Linked DNA regions of Cricetulus griseus. The protein of the gene in region 1 binds, or shares a complex with, the protein of each later gene. Links are inferred from orthologs where the notes say so. Each region holds a gene or a part of one and is shown on either strand. Other genes may lie near its edges.

Region 1 (3,625 bases):
ATCTCTGTGAGTTCGAGGCCAGCCTGGTCTATAGAGCAAGTTCCAGGACAGGCTCCAAAACAATACAGAGAAACCCTGTCTCGAAAAACCAGAAATATATATAATCTCTACTACCAGAAGCCCCATAAACTGCCCAGGCCTCCTAACTGACACCCACAATCAGGGGGCCTGGTTTGGTCCTATGATAGTTCTCCAGTTGTCAGACTGGTGTCCATGAGCTCCCACTTGCTCAGGTCAGTTGTTTCAGCATCACAGTTAACTTTTTAGAGGGGGAGTTGAGGATCAAACATCAAGCAAATCTGGCACTGAATTATGCTCGAGCCCTTGTGTAATTATTGACTTTGTTGTTTTTGGTTTTTTGAGACAGGCTTAATATATTCAAGGACAACACTGACTTCCTTATCCTCCTGCCTCCGCATCCCAAATGGTGGATTTGGCTTTTGAATACTACCTAGTCTTTTAGGTTTTTGTTGTTGTTTTATTGTATTACCTGTTGTCAATTTAGGACATCAAAGTAACAGTCTATGGCCCTATCCTTAGTTGAAAGGATCCCTAAATACTATTGATCTTTCTTTCTGTTTTCATTATGAGATAGTCAGAAAGAGGGCTCAGATGTGAAGATAAAAGAAACAGTTAAATCACAGGGTCTATTTGGTGAGGGTAGTTAGAGAATCAGATTCATCACTTGGCAGGGTGTGAGCAGGAGGCAAGAGCAGGGCCAGCATCCTGAAACTGTGGTGTGGCAAAGAGGGCTTCTGTCAGAGAATGCTGCCCCACCACCGATGCCTGCAATAAATGACCACCTCAAACATCGGCCCAAACTGTGACTGTCAAGGGAAACTGGTAATGACATTTCGACTTTTGTTTTGTGAAATCCAGAGATTGGTTTTAAAGCTAATGCCAAAAACCTTGTTCAACCAGTTACTAAACAGATCTGTACTAGTTGCCGACGCCTTTGGCTTTGTCAACACAGTTTCTGTGTCCATAATCACCCATGTTGGTTAATGTCTCCCAGTGTAAATTCACCCTTGTAGGATTTCACTGGCTGGCTTCAAATATGTAATCCTCCTGCCTCACTCCTGAGTATACTAAGATTATAGACATGTACTACCATATCCAGCTGTAAATATATATTTTAATTAATTGTTGTTGTTTGTTTTGAGACAGAGCTTCTCTATGTAGCTTTGGCTGTCCTAGAACTTTCTGTGTAGATCACGCTAGCCTTGAACTCATAGAACCACCTCCACTCCCTCCCAAGTGCTGTGATTAAAGGTGTGCATCACCACTACATGGCTAATTAATGCTTTTTTTTTATTTTTTTATTTGGTTTATTGGGAGACAGGCTCTCACTGTGTAGCCCTGGCTGGCTGGAATTCAAAGATAGCTTGCCTGTGGCTCCCAAGTGCTGGGATTAAATGTGTGCTCCACCACGTCATGCCCATTTGTGATGTTTTAGATGATTGACACATGTGATGGTGTAAAAGATGCAAGCCTTGGCATTCATGTCCTCTGAAGCCTGTGTGTGTGGTGGGGACAGACACAGAAGTAGGGTCACCTTGCCAGCCTCTGTGTGTGTGTGTGGGCGAGGGTAGGGGGTGGGGATGGGACGGGGACAGATGGACGGATGGACAGACTGACTGTTCTACTCCGAAGTTTTCTTGGTATGCATAAACGTCGTGCACACAGATAAAGGACTCTTCTCTAGATAAACTTACAAAAGTTTTTTATCTGCTGCTGGTCAGGGTTGGGATCTGGGAATCAAGCCCAGCACTTGGTGCCTGCCGGGAAAACACTACCACACCCTCCTGCTCATATGTCCTAATCTCTGCCCCCTTTCAAATCACCCTTCCTTAGGGTCTACAGAAACCTTCACTGGCCTGGCTGCTCTAAGCATGCCTGATCATCTGTTCTTGGTCTTCCCAAAGTCTCAATCAAGTTACATGTGAACTCGGATTTGCAATGTTGCTTGTTTTGTGTTTAATATGAAATGTATTCTTTTTACTTATTTATTTTGTGTGAACTTGTGTGTATGTGAGTATATGTGTGCCATGGAGTGCACGTGGAGCCAAGAGGACAACTTTTGGGAATCCATTCTCTCCTTCTACCATGTGGGTAGGGGAATTGAACTCAGGTTGTCAGCCTTGGCAGCAAGCACATTTACTTGCTGAGCCATCTCGTTGGCCCAAATATATAGTTTTGCTTTAATATGATGCTCTATTCTGTTTTTTCTTTTCATCTCTTGCTCTTATTAATAGTGCATTATTCTCTTACTTGAACCAATGCTTTTAATACAATACTTTTTCTCTCTCACACATATTATGTTTTTCCTTGGTCAGTGGAGATTATTCCACAGTAACTGAAGTGGCTTGGGTATTTTTAAGTAAATGAAATCTTGAGGTAAAATTGATTGTGTTCTTAATTGAATATTTTGAGCATTTGAATCTTCATAGTTGTTGCTATTCCAAATGGATTATTTTTAAAACACCTTAGCATTCTCTTACCAGATAGTATTCTCCTAAAGCAATCATTTGATGGTGATTGGCTGTTTGATTTTGCTATTTAAAAGGAAATACTAAAGATACCGTTAATTATGCATATCCTGCATTCAGTGTTCCGGTTTTCGCTGGCTTGCAGGTATACGAGGCCACTTGACCTTTCTTTCCTGTGTGTCTTCTCTCCAGTTCCATGCCATGGATACGCTGTACAGGCACGGCTATGACCTGAGCAGTGCCATAAGTGTCCTGGTGCCACTTGGAGGGCCAGTCCTGTGCAGAGATGAGATGGAGGAGTGGTCGGCCTCTGAAGCCAGCTTATTTGAAGAAGCACTGGAAAAATATGGCAAAGACTTCAATGACATCCGTCAGGACTTTGTAAGTGGAAAATCATGAGTGAACTGTTGGGACAGGAATGTTGTTTTATCTGTCTACTGATGCCTATGCCTTCAATTGGGCACCACTTGAAGGCGTGGTTTAAATGAGTGCACCATACCCAAGATAAATGATAAATAGGTATTTATTAGGGAAGTACTTACACAGATAAGAGTAAATAACCGCCGAGGTCTTCCTGCTCCAGAAGATGCCGTCTCTGCCCTTCTGATGTTCTCCGAAACCCAAAGAGAGTGTGAGCCAGCCCCTCCTCTACCTTAATGGATCACATCTGCACCTGAAACCACACCCAAAAGGTGCGGCCACCACTACAAGTTCACTGGCAAGGCAAGATGCCACTGCAGTGCCAGGGATCGAAGCCAGTGCCTTGAGAATGTGTTCTGTCCTTGAACCACACCTTCAGCCCTGACAGTAACTTTATTTGCTTAACATAAAATGAAGGGCCACTTATAAAGGAAGCAATTGACATTTGCTTTGTACTGTGAATATGACCTTGGGTGAGGCGTCCTGAGCGGCTGGAACACACCTTGGTTGCATGAGTTTACCCTCTGCAGCACTCTGATTTCCAAGCAGAGATATGAACAATTCTGAGCATTTGTGCTAAATACCGTCTGTGTGTACTCTCTGTTCTCGGTCTGCTTTACACTTCCTCTAGTTGTGTTACCAGTTGTTGATGTGTACTTGTAGGTGTGACCCTGACCAAGCAGAAGAGCCGGATTTGCTTTCCAGTTCCCAACTGT
Region 2 (4,162 bases), on another chromosome or scaffold:
TATGCCATGTTCTGCTTTCAAAAATTGACTACTAAAACGTTTAAAATATATATATTTTATATATATTATTTTATAATATATATATATATATCGTCTTATATCAGCCATTGTAGAATGGGTTGCATTCATTTCTTTATAAGATAAAATGTCACCAAGAAGCCTTTGACAGAGCAATTCTAAGGATGCTAGCAGGGGTGTTGGTGGAGCGGGGGTGGGAGGGGAAGAGGCGGTCCCCTCCCCTGCACCTTTAGTCCCAAAGGGAAAGGGAGAGTAAGACCCCGGTGGTGGTGCCTTTTTTTTGTCTAGCAGAGAAGCTGACGCCGTTGTCAACAGATTCACAGATCATGTCTAAATATGACTAATTAAAAACAAACAAACAAACATCAAAAAAGCCCAACCAACCTGCAAACCATGGCGATTAAAAACAACAGAAAAGGGTGGGCGTTTTATGTAATTTGATGAGCATTACTATTCAGGCAGAACTCCAAAATATAGTACCTTCGGAAGGTTATTCATCAAATCCCAAATACGTTTGGTGATGACGTTTCAGTCAGTTCCTAGGATGGGTGGGAGTGTGTATGGGGTGGGGTGGGGAAGGGGGGGTGTCTAAAACATGGAGTGTAAACTCCGGGGAGTCGAAACTTTGCCAAGTTCATTCTTGAATCCTTAGCGTCTAGAGCCGTGTCTGACACACAGTAGGTGCTCCCTTGAAAAATCCCAAAGAGTTCCTGTGCCAAATGCTGTGGATGCTGCGAGGGCGAATTTGCTGGAGGAGGAGGCGTCTCTTCATCCAGCTTTTGTCAGTCTCAAAGGAATCTTGGGTTCCCAAAGGGTTAAAAAAAAAAAAAAAAAGCCCACTTAATCCAGGCAGAGACATGACATTTTTTTTTTTTTCGAAATAAATGTCAAGAACGGGTTATTCTAATTCTGGGACAGAGCCAGACATGGACATCTGGAATGATCTACGTCCAAGTAAAAATAAATAAATAAAAAAAATAAGACAAACCACCAAAAAAAAAAAAAACCCGAAAACCCAATCGCCACCATTTTCTCCAGGTAATTTTCCATCCCTGCCCCCACAGTCAAGAGACACAGGAAAAAAAAGTACTTCTTCCATCCAGCCTGGCTGTTTAAGAAAGAGGAAGGAGCGGGCCAATGAGCGGCGCGCGGGAGGCTGGGGCGCCGCGGGGGCGCCGCGGGGACCGCAGCCCCCCAAACTTTGGCAAGTTGCGGGCGGCGCGCTGCGCGGGGCGCGGCCGCGGGGAGGCCGCCCCCTCGACGCCCGCCGCCCCCTCCCGGTTCGGGGCCGGGCCCAGCACCGGCTGGGCTCAAAGTTTGCGGCCGCCCCTGCGCCGCGCGCCCGATGTATGGGTGATATACTGCGGCGGCGGCAGGGTGAGGGACGGCCATATTTGCCGGCGCGGCCCGAGCCGGCGACAACAAAAAGTGCGCGGGCGCCCGGTGGGCGCTCGGACGGGCGCGGGGACGTGGGGCCGCCCGGCCCGGGCCTCGGCCTCGCCGTCGCCGCCGCCGCCGCGCTCGCGCCTGGCCCGGCTCTGCCCGGGCGCGCCCGGCCGCCCGCGGGGATGTCGTACAAGCCGAACTTGACCCGCGCACAATGCCCCGCCGCCGCCCTCAACGCCGGTGAGTGGGCGCGGCCGCGCGCGCGCGCAAAGTGCCGCCAAGTTGGGGGCTCGCGCTGCCGGCCTCGGCCCGGGGCTCCCCGAGTCGCGCGGCGCCTGAAGGCCGGCGAGCTGCCCGCGGGTGGCGGTGGTGGTTGGGGATGTCCGCGGGCCGGGGCAGCGCGGCGCGCCGCCTCAGCCGCCGCGCCGCCCATGATTCCCGCCGCCCGTGCCGCAAAGTTTCGCGGTGCGCCGGAGCTCGGCGGGGCTGCGCGCTCGGGCCCGGGTGCGAGCGGCCACGGATGGCGGGGGAAGCAAGGAACTCGGGCGGCCGGCCGGCGGGGCGAAGAAGGCTTTTTTCCTCAGCCCCCCCTTTTTTTTTCTTTCCTTAGGATTTTTGGGCGGCTCGGCGAGGGGCCCCTGCCGGCGGGAGGCGGGAGCGGCCGGCTGCGCGGGGAGCGAGGCGCGGGGCGCCGAGGGTCGGTGGAGCGGGACAGGCCAGGGCCGGGCCGCGTGGCCGCGGGCCCCAGGAGGGAGCCTGGCCCGGGTCGCGGGCGGCGGGTGGGCAGGGGACCGCAGCCTGGGGGTGGGAGCGGCTCCTGGCTCCCCATCCCCCACGCCCTCGGGAGGTCCCTGGAAAGAAGTTGGAGTGTCCGGGCCTCGTGGGCACTGCGGGCGGCGTGCTGGGTCCCGCGGGTCTCCATCTCGGAGTCCCCACGTGGGTACGCGCCCCAAGGGCCGCTCTGCAGAAGCCCGGGGGACCCGGTCTCCCTTCCCCGCTGGGGCTGGCGCCTCCGGGAAACTCCTGCAAAGTTCCTAGACAGCTTTCGGCTGTGCAGGGGCTAGTCCCGAACCCCGAGGGAACCGGGGCGAGGGGTGTGAAACCGTGGCGCTCATAGGTCACCGGTCTTGTGTCCCCTCTAGTAACCCCCTAGACATTTGGCTGTGAACAGACCACCCCCTGAAACAGACGCGAGATAACGGGGTGCCAGGAGAGCTAAGGCCTTCTGTGGGAGTTGGGGTCCGAGTTGGTTATGGTCGCTGTGTCAAACATACTACCCATGTCGGCACTTACAACTTGGGGGTGGTCTTGTGTTGAAATGTTGATTCTAGAACTCCAAAAATCCTCTAGAGGACCTCGAAAAGCCCTGGACATGTGTTTTTAAACTTCTTGGACACTGGCTGCTCTTTGGGATTTACGGTGCCAGCTTGGGAGAGTTGAAACACGTGGGCACAGAGCCCCCCAAAGCATGCAGCCACTGTATCACCCCAGATGGTGCCACCCCCTTTGGGTGACAGGCTTTGTTGGCAGGTAGGATTTTTGTCTCCCAGCCTTCTTGGTCAGTGCCTGGGATGGAAGGTTAGTGGGTTGCGTTGTCAGGCTGTGGGAAGCCAGAGACAGGCTTGATCTGGGGTAGTTGCCCCAGGGTCAAAAATTGGGACCTTTTGGGGTTGTGGGTCACAGTGGCAGGCAGCCCCTGGGACTCTGAAGCCCTGTTCTGGGCTTGCTAGCACCTGTATTCAGCTCAAGTTCTTTTTCTAATGACGAATGCCAGAGGCGGAGCGGGGTCTTAAGGTGTCCGGCATTTTGGTGGGGCCCGCCCGCCCGCTTGCCAGTATTACTTTGCAGAAAGCCCTGCTCTCCCCTGCCATCTGCATCCAAGATGGACTCTCACAGTGGCTCCTCCGCCTTCCCTGTCATCATCCCTCACGCCCTCCAGCCCTGCCTCCTGCTCACTGAGTTGCCAAGCTGCGGCCTGGCCGGCGGTGGCAGTGGCGGAGTTAGACAAAGCCCCCGCCTCCCCCGCCCGAGAGCCCCCCCCAGGCGCCCCAAGTGGCGGGAAGGCCGCCAGCTCCCCAGGCCCAGGCCGCTCTTTGTCTGGCGTGGGGGCGGGGAGCTGCGCCTGGCCCCAGGAGCTTCCTGGCCTCTGCCAAGCCCTCCCGGCTCTCTGCACACTGCGCTCATTGTCTGAGATGCTCCACACCGGCTGTGCTGACGTGGAGCTGCCTCCCTGGCCTCCCTCAGCCCAGGTGCCAATATCTTAGGGAAGGAGAGGGCTTGAGTGGTGCGGAAGACCCTTCCACCACGACTTCAGGGGTGCGGAGGGGGGGCGGGCTGATATCTTCCCCAACACTGAATATGGGCCTGGCTTTGACATAATCAGTCAGGCACATCTCCACTCCTCCAGGGTGGTGGGAAAGCAAGCTCTGAGATCCTCCACCCATGTTGTGGTGTTTCTCATTCCTCCTCTACACCCCCAGCCCCCTAATCCCATCCCCAAAGTCATTAAAATGTGGGATAACTCAACTATTGGGAAGTTTCTCAAAGATGGAGAAACAGAGGCCCACAAGGGCCTTGACAGAGCTCCCACAGCCAGGAGTGGAGTGGCACTGCTGGGACAGACCCCCAAGTCCAGGAGAGAAGATGTGTCAGGGAGGTGAGAAATAGCAAAAAGCGTGGGAAGCACACGAGGTGCCCCTGGTGCTTCAAGGATGACCTTGTATGTGGTGCTGGAATCCTCTAAAGGCCTCAAATGCTC

The links. The genes of interacting proteins can lie anywhere in the genome.
Region 2: Mta3 (region 1) and Cdk2ap1 share a complex: the UniProt entries of both Homo sapiens proteins name them as parts of the nucleosome remodeling and deacetylase (NuRD) repressor complex. The link is inferred for Cricetulus griseus from reciprocal best matches to the Homo sapiens genes MTA3 and CDK2AP1.

What each region holds. Positions count from the first base shown.
Region 1 is NC_048598.1:85,391,969-85,395,593, forward strand, and holds part of Mta3 (metastasis-associated protein MTA3), read left to right. Parts: intron 1-2,681; coding exon 2,682-2,870; intron 2,871-3,625. UniProt on the Homo sapiens protein: Acts as a component of the histone deacetylase NuRD complex which participates in the remodeling of chromatin.
Region 2 is NC_048597.1:104,074,105-104,078,266, reverse strand, and holds the start of Cdk2ap1 (cyclin-dependent kinase 2-associated protein 1), read left to right. Parts: upstream 1-1,273; 5' UTR 1,274-1,367; coding exon 1,368-1,644; intron 1,645-4,162. UniProt on the Homo sapiens protein: Inhibitor of cyclin-dependent kinase CDK2. Also acts as a component of the histone deacetylase NuRD complex which participates in the remodeling of chromatin.